Medicago truncatula: one gene and its partner. The protein of the gene in region 1 interacts with the protein of each later gene in a pairwise test. Links are inferred from orthologs where the notes say so. Each region holds a gene or a part of one and is shown in the gene's direction. Other genes may lie near its edges. The genes, in order: clathrin heavy chain 1 and clathrin interactor EPSIN 1.

Region 1 (13,502 bases):
GTGTTGTGGTTTATCACAAGTTCAAATACTCATGATCATTGCTTTATTTTTATAGATCTTATCTTTGTTTTTTCCTTCCAGTTTAGTTTTGCGATTTTTGTTGGCATAATTTAGGAATTTTACTATTTTTGTAATTTGTTCAAATGATACAATGCTTCTGAAGTTCTATAACCTAATTGTGATATCACTGTTCAGGAAAGTGTTGTTATTATGTAGGTTCAGCATTGCTGGTTTATATTTTGTGATTTTGTATATAATTAAATGTATAATGGTAAATAGTTAGAACTAAGAAGTTCTGCTTTTAAAATGACAAATAAGTTATTTCATAAGGATTACTTGTTTTCAGAACATAAAATAATAATGCTCTTCTGTAATTATCCTTCCAGTTTTTGCCTTGTCATTTGTGTTTAATCTATCTCTCCAATTTGCAGGCAGAGAAGATAGGTTTGGAATCAATGGATGTTGAAGCCTTGAAGAAGCTCAACAAAAATAAGAAGTTGGTGAAAAAGCTAGCCAAGAAGTACCATGCTTTCTTAGCTTCTGAGGCAGTCATTAAGCAGATTCCTCGTCTTTTGGGTCCTGGTCTCAACAAGGCAGGCATGTGTTTCTCTTGGTTTAAGTTTTACGTTTTTATTTTTTACCGGAAATATGTGTTTACCTTGGGTTCTGGAAACAGCCTCTTGTGTAAAATAGGGTAAGGCTGCATACAATACACCAAATGGTCCGGACCCTGCATATGCGGGTGCTCTAGTGCACCGGGTTGCCCTTTATGTGTTTACCTTGTTTGTTTTGAATATTTTGTAATTATACGTTGTAGTCTATTTATCAATATCTTATCATTTACGCTGTAAATCTTTTGATTTTAAAGTACTAGTTTCCTAAAAATCTATGAAGTACTATACCATCTTTTGATATCTTATTCATATCCTTCTAAGTGTTTCTTTTAATGAATTGCCTTGTTCGAAAAATATATTTTATTCCGTCCTTAAGATTTCAGAATTTAATTATGGCTTAAGTTGTTGAGATTTATGTTTTGCATGCATTACTTTACAGGGAAGTTCCCAACACTTGTCTCTCACCAAGAATCTCTCGAGGGAAAGGTCAATGAGACAAAAGCTATGGTGAAATTTCAGCTTAAGAAGGTGCTCTGTATGGGAGTAGCTGTGGGTAATGTTAGCATGGATGAAAAGCAAATCTTTCAAAATGTTCAACTCAGTGTTAACTTCCTTGTCTCCTTGTTGAAAAAGAACTGGCAGAATGTGAGTGTTCCTTTTATTTCATCATTGCCTAAACTCATTGCTCTGTTTGCTTCTATTTTACCTTTATTTTGTAAGTTACAAGAAAGTATGATTTCTTAGATGCCGTCCGGTGAAATGGTAGCATGATGCTCTGCATCGTTTGTGCCTGCAACCTAACATGCTTTCTTTCATCCGCACACATGTTTCCTTTATTTTTATTCCTTGAATTGCTGTAGTATCTGTGTACAAAATTTGACCTCAAATTAGGGATAAGTGGTTTGACAATTGCTTTTTTGATTTGCATCATGTTGAATGTGTTTGCTACGATAACTTTAGAGTGTATGCTAGTTCCCTAGTTGAAATTTTTTAACACTGATTTACGGGCTTATTCTTTAAACTCTACTGCTATTTTTTGTTGTTTCTTCAATATCCTAGGAATATTCAGTATGAATGAACCAGACATTTATCTAATATAACCTACTCTTGATTTCAGGTTCGGTGCTTGTATCTGAAGAGTTCAATGGGAAAATCTTACCGTGTCTTTTAAGGGAACTTATTTCCTATCTTTTTTCAATATTTAAGTCAGTCATCTCCTTCAATACATTTGTCCGAATAGCTTGATAGAAACTTCGTCTTGTTACAATTTTGCTGGATTATTTATTGTTAAATTGTTGTTTTTATGTTTGAATATTTGATAATGTTAGTCGTGCTACTTTTTGTGCTTCTCATTTCCTGATGATTGTTATTTTTTGTGCTACTCATCTTGTTACAATGAAATGAACAAATCTTTCAGCGAATCATGGGAGATGAACTGAAGATACACGCAAGTGTGAAAGATAACCATGCATGCTAAAATAACCCTGAATTAAGGTTGCCATTTTGTTTTGTTTTAAGAACCTTGATATACTATAGATTGAACCCCTATTTTAAGTGTCTTGTGGTGGCAATTTTCATTGCTTCCAGACCAGTTTAAGTATTTAATGCAAAATTATTTGCAAATAAATGTTGAGATAAAATTTAGAAAATTGTTTTTCTCACATTAAGTTTTTCTTAAAAACACATAGAAATGTTGTTTTTGCCTCCATTGATAGTTAACTATGGTTCGATTTTTTACCGTTCAACTTCAACATATACAACTTAAAAAATATCTTAATTGAAGCATTATAAATACAAGACTTGTTTTTTTTTTAATCGAGAATACAAGACTTGTTACTACGATAAATTTTAATTGGACGAAAGAAGGTAACAGTACTGCCTGGATCATTTACAGCATCTCCAATGGGAAGTTCTTAGTCCTTACTTAACGGTGATCACTCCTTGTTAAGGATCCTCCATTAAAGAAATAAAAAATGAGTCCTCATTAATGAATGGGCAACTATACAAGGACCATATATCTTGAGCTATTAACGGGTCTCACGTTTAAAAGAAGTAATAAAAATGAGTTTTCATTAATGAATGAGCAACTATATCTCCTATCTCCACTTAACGATCATTAAGAGGAAAAAAAAAAAGAGTAATCGTTTAAAAGAAGTAATAAAATATGTATTATTTGGTTCCATTTACAAAAGAAAATATATTTTAATAATTAATAATTGTTTTAAATATTATTTTATCTATTTGTCATCAGTTTAAATAAAATGTAATTCATGCAAATTATTTATTAACGAAGAAATGTATCTTTTTTTTTAAGAATGTAAAGTTATCTATTTGTAATCTGTTCTGAAGTCAGTTTAGGATTCGGTTGGTGTTCCGAATCGAGGTGGCTCTAAACTCAGGTTTACCTACTTAAAGAGAGAAGATAGGGTTTCGCCTCTCCTAAGTGTTTGCTGGTTCCAGACTCCAGTTGGCTGTCATTTCCAGAGGAGTTGGACTGCTTTCCACTGATAGTATCCAACAAGGAAATGAGTGAAGAGAGGAAAAGTTATCTCTAGCATATATTTATTTAACGCTTTCTTTTGATATCAATTGAACAGAGGCTTAGTTGTGTGATTCATATCCACCACGTACCGTTAATTTTTCCATTTTCAAATTATTAGCAAATGTGCCAGAAATTTAAGTTCATTCGAATAAATAATTTTTTTTATAATTTAATTTTTTTTTAAGGATTATAATTAAAATATTATGAGGTAATTTATAATTTAATAAATAAATTATTTTTGTTTAATGATGTAAAGTTAGTGGGATCTATTTAAGTATTTTTTATTAGAGTTCTTATTAGTGTACTTTTATTGGAGTCATTGAGTCCTTAATATATACTTTTATTAAAATATTACATATAAGTGATCTCTAACGTGAGATCCATTTAAGGAGTCTTTATTAAAGAACTACCATTGTGGATGCTTTTAGTAGCACTCTCATATGTACTTGTAATCATCTACTCCATTGAAAAAGGAAGAGTATGAGAATATAAAGGGTGAGAAGATGTACGCCGTAGATGCAAGTTTACAAACTTATTTAATGGTATAATTCTAAACATTGAAAAATCCGAAATTTTAATCAATATTTTATTTCACGCAACCATTAATTAAGCAATTTAAGAATAAGTTCATATAGATCCACCCTAAAGAGGAACCAACAACTAGAAACTAGAAGGAATGGTGAAAGAAGATAGTAAGTGGCAAAAGCAGAGTCGCAACGTAACCACGAAGTTAGAGACCGGGGTTTAAGAACCATAATTGTTGGAGTATTGAGGAACATGTAGTGTTGAATTTCTCTAACGGAATGGTAATCATGAACTTTAAGATAACTCAGACTTATAGCAGTTCAATGACTTGTAGATTGTCTAGGAAGACAATATTGGCATTTTTTTTATTTTTCAATTTTTTTTGGATGCCACGTGTAAAAAAGAATTTACACGTCATTTATAATTAAAAAAATATTCTTTTTAAAAAACAAAAAATATTTTTTAATTGTTTTTAATTAATTTTTAAAAATAAGAAAAAAATTATTTTTCAAAAATTTGAAAAATAATTGAAATTTTTATTTTGAAAATGAAGTTCCATAATTTTTTTTAAAATCCTTCCTAATTTTAGAAAAAAAATGAATTTTTTTATTTTTTGAAATCAAAAAAGAATTCGTAAAAATAGTTTACATGTCATTTATATTTAAAAAATTAAAAAAAAATCAGAAAATTAATTCTTAAAAATTTTAACAAATCTGAAATAATTCTAATTATTTTTTCAAATCGAATAAAATTTCAAAAATTAAAAAACATTTAGATTTTTTTCGAAATAAAAAAGTTTATTTTAATTTTTTTTCTATAAAAAATAAAAATTCTGGAAAATATTTTAATTTTTAAAAATCTGGATATAAATGTTTTTAAATTCCAATTATATAATCTGGAAACGATACAATTTTATTTAAATATTTAAAATCCTAACTTTAGATTTTTTTTTGAATTTTTTTATAAAATCTTGAAATATTGTTCGAGAATTCAAATTTATGAAATTTTGAAGATTTTTTAAATTCTGAATATAATTTTTTTAAATTCAATTGAAAATCTGAATTTCAGTTTTTTTTTTCAAAAAATTTAAATTTAGAAAAGATTTCAGATTTTTTCGACAGTTTTATTTCTGAATTTTTATGAAATCTTTTTTGAAATTAAAAAAAATCAAATTTTTTACGAAATTAGGAATATTTAAAAAATATATTCTGAAACTTAATTATAAAAAAAAAAAATATTAGATAATATTATAATTTTTGAAGTTTCTTAATTTATATTTGGATATTTTAGAATCTTTTTCTTCCTTATTTTATAATTTTTTGAAATATTCGAAAAATATTAAATTTGAGATTTTTTCTAAGTTTAAAAAAAATAAAATTTCCTAATTAATTTGTTTTTTAAAATTGTTGAAAATTAATTTTCATATTTTTTTAATTATTAATGACGTGTAAATTGCTTTTTACGCGTGGCAGTCAAAAAATAAATAAAAAAGAAAAAGCCACGTAGTTGCCACGTCAGAGATTCTGCTGACTCAAAGGCTCAGGGGAATCTTTATTTTACAACGACGAAATCTAAAAAAAATAAATTACAGGGGGCAAAATCAAAAGTGTCATATATTACAGGGGGTAAAGACATATTAACCCTTCATTTTATAGTTTCTTTCATTTCAGTATGATATTTTTTTTTCTTGGGGTTAATTGTATATATAAATTGACCCTATAATGTACGCGAAGTTTGGAAAATGACTCTATAATAAAAGAAAACACATATTCTACCCCTATAATAAAAGAACCCAAAAATTGAATGTTCATAATATTTTTCAGATATGTTTAAGACGTTAAAATACGAACGATTTTCCACATAAAATTAGATTTCATGACATGAGACGAATTAATTATGAATTTTTAAAGCGCAAAAACTCAAAAATAAACAATGGAAATCTCAACCTAGAAATTGAAGTTTGAGTTGATTTTTCGCAAAAAACCTCTATAAAAATACACAGATTGGATCATCAAAGTTTTGCTGTGTTCCATCTATGCCTTGATTTTTTTTTTTAATTTCATAACCAAAAGTGCAAAATTACAATTTTGCTCCGAATAAGCATAAAATCACGGTCAAATCTTGTTCCTGAATCTTGTTATCATGTTTACTACTCCCTCTGATCACATTTATAAGCAAAAAAATAATAATTAGGTTCATTGAATAATTAATGTATTTAGTCATATTTATAGACCAAATACATTAATTATTCAATGAACCTAAAAAGTTGTCATTTACTTATAAATGTGACCAGAGGGAGTGCATCATAAGAACCGTCGCCACTAAATTTTTAAATTTTTAAACGAGTGAGAAATTAATCATGAATTACTTAAATAATCCATTCATCCCTCGTTTGAACATCCTGTGGTGAAGGTTCCTATGATGTTTTATTTATGTCTCAAAAGTCGGAAACATAATTTCACCTCTGAGTATATGTATACTCGAAAAAGAATTACAATTTTGCACGTAGTGGTTGAAAATCATAAAAATTATGCTACTAAATTTTGCCGATCTAATTTTATACTCCCTCTATCCTAAAATGTAAGCAAAAAAAAAAAACTCATTTTTTTGTCCCAAAATGTAAGCAAAAAATACAAACTTTTATCCTATTTAATCTTGTTTTTTTTAAAAAAAATCATATTTGCCAATACAAACTTTTGTTTATCTCTCATTCATTTTCTCCACAACCAATAGTCAATGAAAATTGTTTTTGCATATTCCTATAAAACTTTTTCCAAAGAAAATACAAAAAACTATACTCCAACTTCTTATGTTTTAGTTTTCTTAATAAGTGTGATTATTATTTTTTGCTTACAATTTGGGAGAGAGCATGTATTTTTATAGAGATGTATGCGAAAAACATACTCAAAATTTGATTTCTAGATTGGTATTTCAGTTGTTGTTGTTTTGTTTTAACATTTTTGGTGCTTTGAAAATTAATATTTAATCTATCATTTGTTGGAAAATTCTAATTTTATGTGGAAAGGCATATTTTAACGTCGTAAGCCTGCCTTAAAAAAAACATAAAAAAAGAAAAACGATCTTTAGGTTGCTTTTCTGGACTTTATGTCTATAGAGAAAAAAAATAGAAGGTCAAAAATAGAAAAAATTTAAAATTTTAGGGGTAGAATCTATGTTTTTTTATTTATTAGAAAGTAGTTTTTCAGACTAAGTATGTTTTATAGGCTCAATTTGAACAATTAGCCTTTTCTCTTGTATTTACTTATGTCAAGTGAATTATCTCTCATGATGAGAAAGTTGAAAGTCATGTCTGATATGAAACTTTCAAGAGGACAATTACAATTTTTTTAACCCCCATAGACAAATTAGATGAGTTGAAGACAGAACTTAGTCAACATTAAGTTCATCTTGATGAAAATCAATTACTTGTCATGTTGGTGTACAAGTACCATGCATATATCTTAGTCTGAAATGATAACGACAAAGGAACTAGTGTTTATCATGCAGAGACGCTAAATGACAGTGTCGTTATAGTATCCATGACTGTCTCGATGGTGTTCGAAGATAGTAAACAATATCTTTGAGTTAGTTCAAACTACAAGTGTCCAAATTGTCAGTAGAGATCTAACGTCATGTTGAGTTTTAAAATATTTGATGTAATATTGTACAATGTTGTCAAGTTCCGTCATATTTGTTGTATTTCAATCCTTTGTGCATAATGTTGAACTGATGTAATATTGTTGAATTATAAATGACGATGTTTTGTTGTTGATTATGAATAATAATTGTTGTCGGTTGAATTACAACTTGATAAATGATGCGTTTGACTGACAAGTGTTTAAATATGCTGTTTTGTGTTTTGATTGTGCATATAAAACACACCTTAAAACTATAAATTTTTTAAATATCGATATCAAAATTTATAAAAATAGAAGATCAAAATTACAATTATAAAAAAGTGAATTCTTAAATACTTTTGAATTTGATTGACTACATACAAATAATCTTTAGACAATTTTTTTAACATTTACATTTATTTTAAAGTAAAATAATATAAAAATACCATATGTCATTGATCGGACCAAAGTACATGCTTAACAAAGTTACATAAGTACTTTCCTTCAAAAAAAGTTACATAAGTACAATTGTCTTCGCCTTATAAAAAAAAACATAATTGCTTGCTAAGCCAACTTATGTTTTTTTTTTCTAACATAAGTTGGACCATTACCCAGTTCACCTGTCACAAAATCAAAACGTACTAACTAAGCCATCAACAAGTAACACACGTCTCCTGTGTTAATACACACCAGTCTGTTATTATGTTATTTTCCACAACAAAACAAATTAAATTTTTTACCTAATTAACGCATTAGTGAATAAAACGAGATCTTTGCTCCACTGTCATCATTTTCCTTTTCCTTAAAAAATCCACTCTCTTTCTTAAATCCCGCTTTATTAGTGTCACTTGCACCTCTTTTTCTTCTTCTTTTTTCATTTCTCTTCTCTCTCTCTCTGAGAGTCCAAGCTGTTTCCAGATCTTGTACTGATTTGAACTCCGATTCAACCACCGCTGTAGATCTCAATCTCCGATCCATTTCACCATGGCGGCCGCCGCCAACGCTCCGATCCTCATGCGTGAAGCTCTCACTGTTAGTCCTCTCTTCTTCATTACTCCATTTTTTAACTCATCAGCAACAATCTAACATCTCTTGTTTTCACGATTATATCAATTTATTTACTTTTTATAAGCTTTGATCAATTATAATTTTCCAATTGATTACTCTAGTTTGATTATGAAGTTACTTTTTTTTTTTTTGCTGCTGAATTTACGTTGAATTTGCGATGAATTTGCTCAGATCTGAATGATTTGTTGTTTTTGTTGCTTAAGTGTTTGGATTTTAAGTGTGAAGTTGTTGAATCTGTTTCTGATTTGAATTTTGTGGTGATTTCAGTTGCCAAGCATTGGGATTAATCCACAGCACATAACATTCACGCATGTGACGATGGAATCTGATAAGTATATATGCGTTCGAGAAACTGCGCCGCAGAATAGCGTGGTTATTGTTGATATGAACATGCCAAATCAGCCTTTGAGGAGACCTATTACTGCTGATTCTGCTCTTATGAATCCTAATTCTAGAATTCTTGCTTTGAAAGGTTTGCTACTATTCCTTTTTTGTTTTTGTTTTGAACTTGTAAGTTGTGTTTGTAGCTGGTAATGTTGTGGATTATATAGCTGTGAACATTTCGTTATCGGTTTGAATTTTGTATATTGTTGTAAAGATCAATATTTATTAGGAGCTTAAATTTATTATTTATATCTTAGGAGATGTAAAATTTAAGTTTTGATGTTTTTGCCATAGCATGTGATTTCCACTACACTCAAACATGGAAAATAGTTGAAAGTGTTGTTTTTGAAATTTATAATGCATTGAATGGTGCCGCGGTTTTTCGAAAAAACTTTCTATATCGCGTTTCCTTGGCGCGAGACCCCATTTCCATATATGCAACTATTTTATTAAACGAAAACGACTTAGTTTTAATTCGATTGACTTCAATTAGGAGCGGACTAGAAAGTCTTTTAGATATGTGCTTTATGCATCCCGATTGCTAGGGTTTCATACCCGTGAAGCATAGATCTTTGACGGACCTGACAAAACGAATCGATTTGTATTCTTATGTTTTAATTCTATGTATGAAATCAAAATTATGTCCGGAGATTACACTTCAGTCATGCGTGCTTAAATGACACACGACCCTCTTCCATTTTTTAATCGAATACTCGCCACTCGTATTTGTTTGGAAAATTGCAGTCACCTCTTCTAGATTTGTTGAAAATACACCCTTTACAGAATAGAGGAACACTGTTTTTATGTTATAGAGAGGATATGTTGCATTTAAACATATCTCAAGGGAGATGGGTGGAATTTCCCTTAACTATTATATATTAAGAGAAAAAAATCAAAAAATTTGTTTTTATATCTTATTTTTGTGTATGAGAACTATTGTAATAAAAAAGAAAGACGATTGTAATTAAGATAGCATAATTTTTTTTATTTTTTTAAAGATAGCCTAATGTTCGTCCAACCATTTGGAAATAATGTAATGTCTTACTCTTATTTGATTATTTCATCTGCTTCTCTTTGTGTGCACTCATTTGTATATTTAGGAATTAGAAATATATTGACTTATGAGGTGCATTTTTCTCTTGAAGCTCAACTCCAAGGAACAACTCAAGATCATTTACAAATATTTAATATTGAACTTAAAGCAAAGATGAAATCGTATCAGATGCCTGAGCAGGTATTTGTCTATAGTTATACTGTGTGCATGTACTGTAAACTGTGCATGTACTGTAAACTAATGAGTGATAGATACAACTTTGTTAATCCTTGTAAATGTCCTTGTTTCATGTGTAGGTAGTCTTTTGGAAGTGGATTAGCCCCAAGTTGTTGGGTCTTGTGACACAGACTTCTGTATACCACTGGTCAATTGAAGGTAAGATATGCATGAACTAAAATTTAATTAAATATGGTTTTGTGATATGTTTTCAAGTTTGTCGATTATTCTTCAGTGCACTTTTAGCTTGTCTACAAATTGTTAACTGGCATGTTGGTATGTGATATATGTAACTTGTAGGCGACTCTGAACCTGTAAAGATGTTTGAGAGAACAGCAAATCTGGCAAACAATCAAATAATTAATTATCGATGTGACCCTACCGAAAAATGGTTGGTCTTGATTGGTATTGCTCCTGGTTCCCCTGAGGTATATCTCTAGTATTTGTTATATTAAGTTGGTTATCATGGTGAAATATTCCTCAAGTTTCAACTTTAAGCTCATTCCTCTACTTTGATTGACTGAATTTTCGGTAATTTTTTTTGATACATGTTAGATATGAAACTGAACAACATAAGCTTTTGGGCAAATGGTTCTTAGAATTGTATTAGGGCCTCCTTGATTTATTAGTGGGGAACTTGATCTTGTTTCACCTGTTATATAAGAAATTGAATTTTAATGCAATCTAATAATAGACTTGTGTATGAGGAGGCATGTTAGATATGAAACTATTTATACTTAAACCAACATATTAATATATTAAATTAGTTAGTTCTTGAAAACAATCATGATCTATTATACTGTAATTTTCATGAGCCTGTTCTTGTTTGGTTTATTTCTTCATATCTTCTTGCATTATAGAGGCCACAATTGGTGAAAGGAAACATGCAACTATTCTCCGTGGAACAACAGCGCAGCCAGGCTCTTGAAGCTCATGCGGCTTCATTTGCTCAATTTAAAGTATGTCTCTTTGTGCATGTATTTTTGTTGTTAAATATTTACTTGAATAACTGTACACTACTATATGGTTTTATTACATGCTGACAATATTGAATTGTTTTTTAACAGGTTCCTGGGAATGAAAATCCGTCTACTTTGATTTCTTTTGCCACCAAGACAGTTAATGCCGGTCAAGTTATATCCAAGTTGCATGTCATTGAGCTGGGTGCTCAGCCAGGTCTGTATAACTTTTTGCTGTCACATTTACCTCTTACGAATTAATCTATGGGTAGTATGGCTTTAAGATAAATCTGTCTTGTATTGCCAATTTGGCTGTCATATGTTGAGTTCGAAGCATGCTTTTTTCCCTGTGAAACGAAAATATAAATTTTAAATTGGTCATAGCTTGTATTTAGTAGAGGTATGTGGGAAAACTAACCTTCATGATAGTCAAAATCCTGATTTGAATCATAAAATCTTACGATTTTGCGATCATGTTTTCCCTTAAAGATTAGGAGTTCACATATAATCCTATTTTTTGTGGAATTGGGTGGATTCCCGATTTGAGTCGTACAATCTTATGATTCCAAACCTCAAACTATCGAAAAGCCGTTGCGCGCTAGCTTGTAATTTAGGGGGTAGGGATGCCCCTTTCTAAAACTTATATATAGATTTGTGAACGTCAGACATAGGATCAGTTATGCTAGCAAACAAAGACGGAGAAATCCGTTTTGCTAACTTAATCGCTCTAGATAAACTAAAGAACGATAAGTAGAGTTTAACTAGCATATCAGCTTTCTCATCCCTTTTATATATAGATTTGTTGTCTATGAAAGGATGGTAATGAATTTGAATTTACATATGTACTTTAAGTGTGATTTGAAGTTTTCTGTCTTATATGTAATTTTATTTTTATATATATACTACGATTGTATGAGTTTTGTATAATACTACGATTGTACAAATTTACTTCCCCTTTTCGATTTTGTGTACAATCTCGATTTTAACTACCTTGCCAACTTTTCTGAAAGATGTCCCAAAGAAGAAATTTTTTCTTGCAATCTAAAATTCTTCACTTCTGAATAATTATGAGACTCAATTGTGGACTGATGAATCAAAGTGATCATGCAGTGGACTAAACATATGGAGGAGGTTACTCATCATTGCTAATAGTTTTAGTTAATTAAATAATTTAACTTATGTTGCCGGGCCATGCTCCAGTGATTACTTCACGTATGAATGATGTTTATTGTAACAAATTTGACTTCTTGCGGGCTTTCAATGTAATCATAAAGCAGTTTATTGAAATTAGTGTGGGCATTTAAAGATGGATCGGGATATTGCTTCAATAATAAATCATTTGTATAATGTTACAATTTGTAATTCAGTTGATCATCCTTCTGGGATTTAACTTTCCAAATTTGTTGGCAGGGAAACCTTCATTTACAAAGAAACAAGCAGATCTGTTCTTTCCTCCTGATTTTGCTGATGATTTTCCAGTTTCCATGCAGGTAAGGGGGTTGCTAGTGTTTGTTGTTCATTTTTGTTAACTGTGCAGGTAGTTGATTCATAATTTGTTGCTTTGGCAGATATCCCACAAATACAGTTTGATTTATGTGATTACCAAACTTGGTCTTCTATTTGTCTATGATTTGGAGACGGCTACTGCTGTTTATAGGAACAGAATCAGTCCAGATCCTATATTTTTGACGTCAGAAGCTACATCAGTGGGAGGCTTTTATGCCATTAACAGGAGAGGCCAGGTGTTACTGGCTACGGTTAATGAGCAAACAATTGTGAATTTTGTCAGTGGTCAAGTATGTTTCTGATCTTTTCATCACTTCTTTAATGTGAAGAGGAAAGAAAGACGCATTGTTACTAATTTATTTTGGTTATTATCACAGTTAAACAATTTGGAGCTAGCAGTTAATCTTGCCAAGAGAGGAAATCTTCCTGGTGCTGAGAAGTTGGTATGTTGATATCTAGTTAATATATAAATATATTGCTTTGCTAGATGTGGTCAGGAAAGTCGCTAGAAATCGTGGTTGGGTTTCATACAATTTCTAAGTGCTAACTTGCGTGAAGTTTGGGTGCATGGTTGCTGTAGAAAGTTCAATATTTTAATAAATACTTGGTAGTGCAGGTTATTAAAAATCAATGCAGAAATATCCTTTCCTTACTGATCTTTTGTTGTATGTCGTTGCAGTGTCTACCTTTTACTTTGACAATTTTTTATGCTTGTAAAAGATAGACGCTTATGACAAGAAAGATTGTGTATGTTTGGATCGACAGTGAGTTTGGAGAAATAACGTTGTGCGTCCGCGATTTTGTCAAAAGCTACATTTGGAGCTTCAACAAAATCACGGTGCTACCGTGGTTTAGTCAAACATGCCGCCAAATCCAATCCAAACATTCACACTGTGGGTGACCTGAATGCTAAGCTGCTCGAAATCTGTTTTTTTATTTTTTATTTTTTATTTTAATGATATTTGCATTTTTTGATTAATAATTTTGGTAAAAGGTAAACCAATTGCTATTGAGCTC
Region 2 (12,597 bases), on another chromosome or scaffold:
TCTTCACATCATAAACATCATCTTATAACAACATAAACGATACATCATAAACATCATCTTATAACAACATAGACAACACATCATAAACATCATCTTATAACATCATAGACAACACATCATAAACATCATCATCTTATAACAACATAAACAACACATCATATACATAATCTTATAACAACATAAACAACACATCATAAACAACATCATAACATCATAATCAATATCATAAACAAAATCATATAATCTTCATAAGCACTTCATTAACAACACGTGGATAGAAGACAACTCAACAACTTAACAACTCATCATCAACTTAACAACTCATCAACAACGACTTTGACTCGACAATGCAACTTCGACTTCTTAATCATGCATGTGGTATCAATCCAGGGCATCAAGCCCCCAACATATTAAGCATAAGTACACTCCCAAAGCATCAAGCCCTCAACTTAAAGAGCAAAAGCTCACAGGGCATCAAGCCCTCAACGTATTGAGCATAAATACACTCCTAGGGCATCAAGCCCTCAACTTAAAGAGCAAAAGCTCACAGGGCATCAAGCCCTCAACGTAAATGAGTATGCATGGACTCAACAACTAATGCAGCGACAACCAACAACTTCAACGACATCGACAACAACTTACAACTTTAACGAAATTGACAACAACTTACAACTTTAACAACTCGATCAACATATGCAACTTAATGATTTAATAATCAATACAGCAGAGACAACAACATACAACAATTTCACAACATAGCATCATTAATAATAACAACTTGAATGGTATAACAACATTAGTTTCTATATCATACCTTTTCCACATAAATATATGTAACTCAAATTATTCAACAACAATATTCACATAATATATGTATTTCAAATTATCCAACAAAGATATTCACGTCAAACCAAATTAGATCCATCACAACATAGGTTAAATACTCTTAAGCACCCTAGTTGAACCTATATTACTTCTAGTTTTGAGGTTTGAAATTATTCCTTAAGTTTTGGATTAACTTAGAAACGGTTATGTTGAATTTTCATAAGATTTCACTAAGACCTCCTTGGAGTATTTTCATCATATCTCAAGAACCAAAAATCATTTTCACGTCAAACCAAAGCCACTGGAAAGCTAACTCAATTATCTACAACTTTCATGTTTACACCAAAGGCCAATTCAAAACAGAAACGTGTGAAAAAGACGCAAGAACATGAAAGAGGACGTGCTGTCAGAGAGCAACTCGGGAAAAACCCATTTTTCATCCCAAAATCCCAATTTTAACTTCCCTATGCCCAAATTTGATCCCAAAGTTTGTCAAAACATTTATATACATCAAAAGAGTCTGAAAACCATATAAAACTTGACCCAAAACATTATTTCAGAAAATCACAAATTATCAACCTAATTCATCGGATTATCTACTCTTAAATCAACCAATTACAACTTCTAAATCTAATTCCCAAAACTACAACCTACAACTTGTTAAATTCGATTTTCAGAATTATACCTCTTAGAATTAGAGAAAGTTAGTCTCACCCTTACCTTAGATTGATCGACGAAGGACTCTACCGCTTTCTCTCCTCTGACTATTCTATTCTCTTCTCTTGGTTTTCTCACTTTTTCGCCAAAAACAGGTTTCACGTAATCCTTATTTTCTAATTCTAACTATCCCCCCTTTATATAAATCCTTAACCTACTTATTTTCTCTTATTTCCAAATATGTCCTCAAAGTCTCAATATTCTATCATAATATATATATATATAATGGGATAGGATCAAATGACACCATGGTGTCAAAATTAGTTTGACACCAAATCTCATCCATTCATTATATTTAATCCAAAGGTTTAAAGCTATCCTTGTATAATTCTCCTACACCAATTTCTCTCTTTATCACCTAATTAAAAAAAAATCTTTATTATAAATTCATTATCAATCCTTTCCTCTTTTCCCCATTTTTACTACTTATTATTCTTACTTAGTCTTAAAAAAAAATCATGATTATGGTTGATTGGATTCAGTCATCACCACGGATAATTATATAAATTGCATTAAAAAAATTACATATTCAATCAAAAGACCAAAATGATTCTTTTTCTTTCACCATTGTTGCTATCTAACCTCTCAAAAATTGTTGCTAATTAGATTATTTTATCACTGATCATATTGTTTAAGCTTAATTACCTCAACAACAGTAAGCTTCAATGTCTTCTAAAAAAAAAATTAAAACAAATTTTTTTTTTTTTGAAGAAAAAATGTAAAGTAATAAAAAAGGGTAACGATGGTTGCTACGAACAGTAAAAAAGACGAAATGCATGAGTGTATGTTGTCCGTTGATTTTCACAACTGCACAGTCATGATTTCCACAAATAATGGCCAAATTAGTTTTTTATTTTTTAAAAACTGCACATGTTATATGCTTACTTTTCTTTTGTCAATCTCTTCGTTCAATATGACAATGCTCAATGAAAAAAAAAAAGTAATAATAAAAAAATGAGAGAAAAAAATGATTGATAATGAATTTATGACAATAAATGTTTTCCTTTTTTTCTTAATTAGATGTTAAAGGGAAAAATTGGTGTAGGAGAATTATTTTGTGGATAGTTTTAAACCTTTGAATTAAATGTGATGAATGGATGAAATTTGGTGTCAAACTAATTTTGACACCATGGTGTCATTTGATCCTATCCCATATATAATATAATATAAAATATTTCTATAACAAATAACAAATATATCTCTATAACAAATATATTTCTATAACATATATATTTATTCACCAAATAACAAATATATTTATACACCAGATAACATATATATTTCTACACCAAATAACAAACATATTTCTACACCACATATATATTTCTACACCAAATAACAAATATATTTCTACACCACATAACATATATATTTCCACACCAAATAACATAATATTTTATACTAATATATACCAACATATAACATAACAAAATATCACTCATCAAAATAAATCGACTAAATTATAAAAAGACATCTAAACTCAATTAAAGTAAATAAATAATAAAATAGGGCGTTACAACAAACTTGTTAATATCAATGTTTGGGGGCAAGCAATTATATTTATTGAAGTTTTACTTACAAAACTATGGTCTATTTGCGAATTCGTAGCTTTGTTGCAAATAAACTTTTATCCTGAACGATTAAAGATCTTTACCATTTTGTAAAATGTTAAAGGAATTGATTTCTTTGATAAGTATGTCGAAATAAAGGCATGTATTGAGAATATAAGCCTATTTGTGTGAAATAAAATAACACAAATATAGAAATTCGACAAAAGGAAAGAAAGAAACATTTGACTTTGGATTGATTTAATCATAGTAGCGATAGAAAAAATATATGAAGAAACAATAAAGCAAAAAATCTTTAAAAAAAATAGGGGAAAAACGGTTCTAGAGATTGGGTATAAAAAAACTGAAGAATCGAATAAGGAGAAAAAAAAAACTAAAATATCCTTAAAAAATTACATGAAGAGAAAAGTTGCAGAAAATGAGGAGTCGAAGGGGGTTTAGAGTAATAGAAAATAAACACACGCATGATAGGTTTAGTGATACATTTAATTTATCATTTTCTATTGGTGCATCAAACAAGAGATTTAAGTAGAATATGATAGTGTTATCATATCTGGTCTCCCTATCAAGAACATCAAACGAGCTCTAAGAGCAGCGAGTTTGTTTTTTTCCCATTTAAGAGTACTAAGATAAGATAACTCATATGAATGAATATTTGACATGAATGAATTTGTATATAATTTTACATTAAAACATATTCATACATTTGTGAAAATTCATTATTACATAATTATACACTAAAAATAGATTATAATAATATTAAACATTTGAAATGTTTTTTTTTTTAAAATTACCATGAATGAAAATTTTAATATGAATAACACTAGTACACAACACTTTATTTTAAATATTTATTTAATGTTGCTTTCTACATGATGAGGCGATGTACATTTAAAACCTAGCTTGTGACACGACAATTTAATAAACAATCAAATGTTCAAATACATCTGAGAGTCTTTTAAGTTTAACGTTTATATTAGATTAGTCGATTTAGTTTTTTTAGTTTTAAATTAGATATTTATATATATATAAAAAAAACAAGTTAGTCTTTTGAAAAAATTGGTAATAAATTGACATCTAACTTTGTTATAAAATTCTTACATAGCCATTAAACATTAAGGTGGAAGGTAAAAAAAAAAAACTTATGACACCAAATATGATTACTTACATGCATTTTTTTTTTCATTGTTTTCCGAATCAATCCTAATTTTACTGATAAATATTTCATTATAAACATTATAATCAAGTACTTGATCTATTTTTATTTTAAACTAAGATTGAATAATACACTTATGGTTCTTAGTTTTGAGAGCTGTAAATTTTGACCAACCAACGTAACTTAACAATTAACGTCCATGTTAATACTTTTTTAAATGATTTCAATTGGGAGAGGGTAGTTAAGACCTTTGTATAAGATCCTTTTGCTAAAATCACGAGAATTAAGAAAGTAGATATTTGCATTAATATTGTTTGTAATCACTATTGTTTTTATAATTTTATCCTATAAGAGATAGAGTTAGTTTATGTTTTCAACATATTATTTATTGCTAGTTGAAGAAAAAGATGTATAATAAATATGGACATGTATGTAAAGTAATAGTTAATGTACTTGAAAATATCAAAGGTGTCTTATAAAAAGGGATAAAAAAAATTCTCAATTTTTTTTTATAATTAGGAACGGAGATAGTATATTTTATGACTTAAAGACTATGTCAAAAAAAACTTTACTAACATAAATGACTAACTAACTAAAAAAACTAAAATGCTGAATCTAATTTCAAACATTAAACTTAATAGACCTTAAGATGTATTTAGCCAAATCAAATTGTTTTTTTTTTGTTTAGAAAAGCCTAATCAAATTGTTATAACTTATAAGTACCATTTTTAAAACCAACAAAATAAAATTAAAACATGTTCAATTTAGGCTAAAATAATACTATACTATATTTCTAATCCAAATGTTCAAGATATAAAAGAAAAAATAAAAATATAGATGGAATCCCTTAAAAGCAAGTTTTAGAAAGAAAAAAAAAGTGTTTATAACACTCTTTTTTGCAATAGAGTACAATCATTTTTTTCAAAATAATGATGTCATATGAGTTATAGCTGGCTTGGTGACAGATGAAGGAGTTAACATTGTAGGTAAAGTTATTATGGTCTTGATTCAATTTTCATCTCCGCATAAATTAACTCTTTAAATCTAACAAGTTTTGGTCCATTAGTCATATATTTGGGACTAAAAAGCGAAGATGTCAAATATTTTAAATTATACAACATACAATACAATGGCTTAGAATGATTAACACTCATGTGATTACAAAGAACATCTTTTAAAAAACTTCATTCTCAAACTGGAAAATTATTCATTTTTGCAACTTAGTCAATAACATGTATATAATTAATACATGTAGGTGATCTACATCGTCATCATTGAGTGAGAAACCAAAATTGGTAAACCAATTTCGTAAGTGTAAAATTAAGGGAATCAAACTTATAATAGAAAGAATCAAGCGACTGAGTTCAAATAATTAATAAATTTTATTAAAGATATATCATTTTAAAAAAACCGATTTTGATTTCTAAGTGTAATAATTACTAGTCCAAACTTTAGATGGTTAAAAAATTGTAACTGGAGTTTAATGGGAATGCACAGTTAGTTTTACACTGACGGTGTATATCTAGTTTTACACCGACGGTGCATATCAATTAAATCCATACAACAATGTGTAAAAAAAAAAAAGAAGAAAGAAATAGATCTGAAATCTTAGATATCACAGCAACAGAACCCATCGAATTTCGCCTCAATTAACACAAAGCTACATAACCTTTCCCTTCAGATCAGATCTACACAGATCAATCATCATGGATTTCATGAAAGTCTTCGATCAAACCGTTCGAGAAATGTAATGTTACATTTTCAATTCATCCTTTTTTGCATTTCAATTTTCATTTTTTTTTTTAAATTATCGAATTCGAAATATATTTCAATTTTCGTTCTTATTTGTGAATATTTGATTGATAACAGTAAGAGAGAGGTGAATCTGAAGGTGCTTAAGGTTCCTGAAATCGAACAGAAGGTGAAATTCTAATTTTTATTTTATTTCCATTAAAATTTCTGATATTTTGAAGAATTGTGTTGATTGATTAATAAATATATTTTTCTCAATAAGGATTGTTACATGTATTTGAAATCGAATCAAATTGAATTGAAATCGTATGAGAATTGGTTGCGGCAGCGTATTTTAACGTAGTTTTTGAATAATTTGTTGATGCTTGTTTTCATAGAATCATAAACTTTTAAGAATCTTTGTTCAGTTTGAGAATACATTTTATGTTGTGTTTGATTCCTTCTCTGCAAATGTAAACTGTGGAATGCTTGTTAAAGACGAGGATGTTGCGTTGAATGTGCGGTGAGACTAGACAAGATAGGATTAGAAATGACAATATTAGAGAGTTGGGGTAGCATCCATTATAGAAAAGATGGTGGAAACTCATCTTAGGGGGGTTTGGGCATGCAGAGAGAAGATCTGTAGATTTTGTAGTAAAGAGAGTAGATTAGATGGAGGGTAGTTAAATCACTGTTGACTATACGCAGAAAGAGACATAGAAAAACTATTAAGAAAGATTTATAGATTGATGAGTTGGATAGATATATGATATGTGATAGAACAATATGGTGTAATTTGATCCATGTAGCCGACCCCACTTAGTGGGATAAGGTTTGGTTGTTGTTGAGTCTGAAAATTGATCGTGGCAGCATATTATCACGTGATTTTTGAATAATCTGTTGATGCAAGACAGTTGTTACATAATTGCTTGTTTTCATACAATCACAAACTTTAAGAACCTTTGTTGAGTTTAATAATAGATTTTATGTTTTCTGCCTGATTCTTTCTCTGCAAATGTAATCTGTGGAGTGTATGTTTAAATTTCAAAGTATATCGGTAATGCTTGATAAAAGGGAATTGCACATGTTAACAATGTTTTTGATTTTAATTTTTTTTTTACATGGAAGCAAATCCAACCATTTTGCCAAGGCTCCTTTTCTATTTATTGAGAATTTCAAAATGTATTGAAGATTTTCTTTTCTTTTGCTTTAGGCAGTGTGTTTAGCATGTTATCATTGAACAATATTTTATATTTATAACTATGTATATGAGTGAAGAATAAGAATGTGGATTGATTGCCATGCTAGTACCGCACAATCTGCATTCCATTGGTATTGTTTTGTTGATTTTTTCTGCCACTATTTATAATTTAGGTGTTGGATGCAACTGACGATGAGCCTTGGGGTCCTCATGGTACTGTGCTGGCAGAGATTGCAACTGCTACCAAAAAATTGTAAATATCTACCTACTGCTTTTCCTTTTATATTGTTTTTTAATTTTTGAAAATTTCGTTTGGTTTTCATGGAGAAAATTTTCCGATGCAAGTTAGTTGATTGCTTATTTGCTTCTTCTGTACCTTCCAGTACTGAATGTCAGCTGGTTATGAATGTTCTTTGGACAAGATTGGCTGAAACTGGAAAGGATTGGCGATATGTATACAAGGTAACATTATCTAAATAACCATGTTATTACTTAAAACTTTAAGGTACAAAGAGAAGTGTTTTGTTTTGTTGCATTTTCTTTGTTGATACATCAACTCGCTTCTCTTTCTATTTGATGTCAGGCATTAGCTGTTATAGAGTATTTGGTATCACATGGATCTGAACGTGCAGTTGACGACATTATAGAACATACTTTTCAGATCTCTGTAAGGGCCATTCTCTTGCATTTAGCTAGTTTTTCTTGCAATTCTCAACAGTTCTTACAAATAAATCATAAGAGAAATTTCTTACATAAACACCATTTACTTTTATTGGTAAAGGCACTTTCTAGCTTTGAATATGTTGAGCCTAATGGGAAGGATGTGGGACTCAATGTAAGGAAGAAGGCAGAAAACATTGTTGCCCTTTTGAATGATAGAGAAAAGATACATGATATTAGAAATAAAGCTGCTGCAAACCGTGACAAGTAGGTCAAATTTGTCAATATTTCAATCCCATAGTGATTAGGTAAACTAAGCTGCCATTATGTTCTCAGCAAATAATTTTCTTGTTTTTCTTTTGGTGTGCTTAATTTAGGTACGTTGGAGTTTCATCTAGTGGAATGACATACAAATCCGGGACAACCTCATTTAGTAGTGGGAGCAGTAACAAATATGGAGGTTTTGGTTCAAGTGGTGATAGGTTTAGTGATAGCTACGGAGACAAGGGGCGCTATGATGAAGCAAAAATAGACAAAGATTACTCAGGAAAATCACGGCATGGTGTCTCAAGTAAAAATGAAGAGAACTCCTTCAAAAAAGGTTCTGTTCGGTCTGTCAGGTATGGCGTGCAAATAATGGTAAATGTATTTTATGCTTGTTCAGTAGTTCCATACTATAGTTGGATTGTTTTGCCATACATAATCCTTCGGAAGTTTGAATCTGAAGTATCTAGTGACTACTTTAGCAGTAGCACTTACTACATAGATATAGTTATTACCGTGTGTATTGTCATGTACATTGTTTTCTGATGCGCCTTATTCGTTACTGTATGTCTAGTTGTGCCCCAAGTTTTTAAACTAGTGAAGCCATTTACCAAGGAGTTTAGGAAATTGTTAGTTTTTTTAATAACTTGCTTTTAATAGTTTACCTTTCTTTTTGTACATTAGCTGGTCTCATAGAATTTTTTTTCTTTCTAAATAATTCAGTCATTAACCATATGGCCATGCACTCTCTTGTCTGCATATCCTAACAAATATATTAAATTTCATTATAATTAGAGCTTACTTTTTATCTTTCTTTACCTTGGACACCAATGAAGGCTCAAATTTCGATTCTAATGTCTGTTCTTCAGAAAGGAAACTTATTATTTGAAAATTAATTATCATCCGAAAAGCATTTCTTCAAATAATATTGACATAAGCAGGGCACTAAGTGTAATTTTTTTCTAATAGGTTTTATGGTCTCTTTTCCTTTAGAAGAAAATGTGTCATTTTTAGCAGAAGAAAATGTATCTTGTAGATCTATTAAACTGTTACTATTAAAATGTTGGGAAGTGCCCATAAGCATAAGAAAGATTTCTAATTGCTAAAAATTCTATAAAAGCTGAAATAAGCCTTTAACTAGTCAAAGACAGGCCTGTGCATGATACAACTATATGCTCATCACTGGACACATGTCCAGACTCAAACCTTTGATTCTTGATCCTCATTGCCTAGTTCAACAAGCTTATTTTGACTTGGAAAAAATTAAGCAGGAGTTTGGGTAAATGGTTGAGAACTTGAGATGCTTATCTCAACTCATCTTTTTACTTGCACCTGCTTTGGTTTTTATGCACAGAAAGGCACATGCTTCTGCCTCTCCATACTGCAATGATTCTATTCTGTTGCCCATATTCTTATTCCAGAGTGTCTTCCTTGCAGCAAAAGTCAGGAGAACAAATCTTCTAGAGCATCAAAGTCATCTGCTAATGCAGTTCCTTCTCAAAGTGCAAGTGTACCTACTGAGGACGACTTTGATGATTTTGATCCGAGAGGAACATCTAGTAGTAAGTATTCTGAACACTTAAGGACAATAAATTGAGGAACATCGCTTAAGGACAAGAACAATCACCAAATGGTGGGACCCCTTCCCGGACCCTGCCTATGCGGGAGCTTCAGTGCACCGGGTTGCTCTTATTTTAAGTGTTCAGAATACTTACTAGTGTTACAACTAGTAATTTATTGTATTCTGAAGCATTCACACAGAAGCTTTCGCAATTCAATTTATTCTCCTTAAGTGTTACAACTCCAGGGCCGCCAGAAAAACGGAAGAAAAATCAAATTGAACAATTGACTATGTATTTTGATTTCAAGGACAGGACTTTTACCTAATAAATTGTATTTTTTTTTTCCTTCCTTCAAACAGAGACTTCAGCTGGAAGCTCAAACCAGGTTGATCTCTTTGGACAAGATTTGCTCGGTGACTTCATGGATGCTCCAACATCTGTTTCTGTAGAAAAGCCAGCAACTAGTAATGTGTCAGATGTTGATCTCTTTGCGGATGCATCATTTGTTTCAGCAGCACCACATGCGGACAAAGGAGCTAGTTCTCAACCACAGGTTAGACTTCATTAGCAATAATTTGTGTTGCCGTTTTTTTTTTAATTTCAGCTACCAATTACCTGTTTAATGGCATGAATCTCCATCATTAAGTAGGTTCTATCTTACAACCTTAAATTGCCACATTCATTGGTGCTCCAAAAGTATGAATGTTGCCAATATGAATGGGATTGTTTAACTGCACTTTACTCCATCGATGTGAATATTATTGGTATATTCTTATTATGAATTATAACTGAACTAGTATTTTGAGACTGGAATTGTCTTTGGAGGAGAACATTAGAAATATTGGTGTTGATAAATTTTCACATGGGTGTATTAATTGCATGTGAGGAAAATTATTCAGCTTATTAAATTGTGATCACAATTCATTTGAGATAATAACGAGTTTGGACGTTTTTTAGACTTTAGAAGGGATGTAGAAATACAAAGACTAGACTAGATGGAGGATGGTGGATACTCCAGTAGTTGAAGATAGAGGAGATAACATGCAAACTTATAGCCCAAACCAATAAAACAGATTTAGAATGAATGATCCATCATTGGACTTAATTCATAACAAGATATTACGTCGTCGTTGGATTTATGCGGTCGAACCCACCTAGTAGGGGAAAATTTGGTTGTTGCTTTGTTAGATGTTGTAAAAATTATGGATTTACCTGTTTCGCTTCTTTCTCCACATTTTCATTCACGGTGCTAAAATTCCGCTTGTGTGTATCTTGTTGATTCCATGCTCAGGATGAAGTGGATCTTTTCTCTTCACAACCAGCCATTCCTTCAGTTACACCAACAGTTGACTTGTTTTCCATTCCTTCACCAGCTGTGCAGCCTGACAGCAAGTCGGAAAACTCTGTTCCTGTGAATAACAGCACTTTTGATCCCTTTGCTTCTGTTCCACTTAATAATTTTGAGGGATCTGATGTTTTTGGTGATTTTACTTCTCAATCTGATTCTGTATCTTCTCAGCCCTCAACGAATGCTGCCACCGATGGTAGTACAAGTGGTAAATCTGTAACAGACTCTAATGTTTCGCCTAAAAAGGATGCTTTTCAGGTGAAGTCTGGCATTTGGGCTGATTCACTAAGCCGTGGATTGATTGACCTCAATATATCTGCTCGTAAGTTTTTATGCTGATTACTTTAACAGCTTTTCCACTGCATAATATGTTCTGTGTTGAGTTAATGCTTTATATCCCGTACCTGCATGTTTTCACCCGAAAAAAGCTTGCAACTGCATGTTTTAAATATGTAGTTGCATGGTCCTTTTCTTCCATGATTACATTGAAACATAATTTATTTATTTAGGGTTTTAGCCTTTTGGGATTCAATCTTGTGTTTCAGGGTGATTAATGCATTACATTGTAGTATGCGTTATCCTTGCTTTAGATTAAGTACATGAATTTGGTAGGAGGATCTTGGTGAACTAGTGTAGTCGTCCACTTCCCCATTGTTTCCTCATGTATGTGCAATATCACGAGTCATTCTGTTATATGATGCACTCGTGAAATATGTAATATGCCAATTATTTTGGTTACTTATGTAATTATCTTATATTATTTTGCAGCCAAAAAAGTATCCCTTGTCGATGTTGGAATTGTGGGTGGATTAAGTGATGGATTAGATGAAAGGGAGAAAGGCCCTCCAACTACATTATACATGGGGAGAGCTATGGGTACAGGATCCGGTCTTGGTATGTATGGTGGCACTCCTTCACAGTCAACAGCTGGAGATGACATATTTTCAAACTTCGGTGGCCAAAACTATCAATTTGGTGGGTTCCAGAAGTAAAAAAATTCACAAATTGTATACTCATTCCATCACATTTTCACTCATTCTTTGTGTGTCGGCTTTATCAAGATTGCTGAGCTTTTTGGCATGGTGGATTTTGTTAATATATATTTCTCTCTATTTTGTATCCAAGAAAGGTAGGAATAGCAATTTCCTATCACTATTGTGATTATATTATCTTAAATTCATGCTACTGTTGCATTTTAATGTTGATTACAAGATCCAGCAAACTGAAGTACCCAAATAGCTTGTGATACTGCTTTATGTTGTAAAATGTGTGGTTGCCTTCACCTTCCTTTGTTCCGGTCTTTCTCATTCTTTTAATGTTGTATGTTGACCGCCGAAAACTACCTAGAGGGCTAGGCGATCATCTCCTCCCCTTGAAGTTGGAATTAATGTCATCCGGTCATGTTCTGTTAATTGCAGCAGTGATTCAAGAACATTGCCCTACTGACTTGCAAGAATGAGAGGCGCTTTGAGTCATAATTTGTATCTTCCCTGTATTGTCCCATAACAAGCATCTTGCTAGGACTAGGAGTAGTTGTGGATAATAGTGAAGACAGGAGACCATGA

What was found.
Region 2: the proteins of clathrin heavy chain 1 (region 1) and clathrin interactor EPSIN 1 interact in binary tests that used the Arabidopsis thaliana proteins (3 or more experiments, as listed by UniProt). The link is inferred for Medicago truncatula from reciprocal best matches to the Arabidopsis thaliana genes AT3G11130 and AT5G11710.

Annotation. Positions count from the first base shown.
Region 1 is NC_053044.1:35,323,977-35,337,478, forward strand, and holds the start of clathrin heavy chain 1, read left to right. Parts: upstream 1-8,076; 5' UTR 8,077-8,282; coding exon 8,283-8,330; intron 8,331-8,633; coding exon 8,634-8,838; intron 8,839-9,895; coding exon 9,896-9,984; intron 9,985-10,100; coding exon 10,101-10,179; intron 10,180-10,320; coding exon 10,321-10,448; intron 10,449-10,880; coding exon 10,881-10,979; intron 10,980-11,087; coding exon 11,088-11,196; intron 11,197-12,389; coding exon 12,390-12,469; intron 12,470-12,547; coding exon 12,548-12,775; intron 12,776-12,862; coding exon 12,863-12,928; intron 12,929-13,502. Other genes in the region: 60S ribosomal protein L10a-1, read left to right, coding at 432-597, 1,054-1,259, 1,732-1,785. UniProt on the Arabidopsis thaliana protein: Clathrin is the major protein of the polyhedral coat of coated pits and vesicles. Mediates endocytosis and is required for a correct polar distribution of PIN auxin transporters.
Region 2 is NC_053042.1:4,646,424-4,659,020, reverse strand, and holds clathrin interactor EPSIN 1, read left to right. Parts: upstream 1-5,834; 5' UTR 5,835-5,972; coding exon 5,973-6,013; intron 6,014-6,135; coding exon 6,136-6,187; intron 6,188-7,371; coding exon 7,372-7,451; intron 7,452-7,581; coding exon 7,582-7,660; intron 7,661-7,781; coding exon 7,782-7,865; intron 7,866-7,979; coding exon 7,980-8,125; intron 8,126-8,235; coding exon 8,236-8,478; intron 8,479-9,559; coding exon 9,560-9,684; intron 9,685-10,043; coding exon 10,044-10,237; intron 10,238-10,975; coding exon 10,976-11,354; intron 11,355-11,800; coding exon 11,801-12,024; 3' UTR 12,025-12,314; downstream 12,315-12,597. UniProt on the Arabidopsis thaliana protein: May have a role in transport via clathrin-coated vesicles from the trans-Golgi network to endosomes. Stimulates clathrin assembly. Does not seem to bind to phospholipids.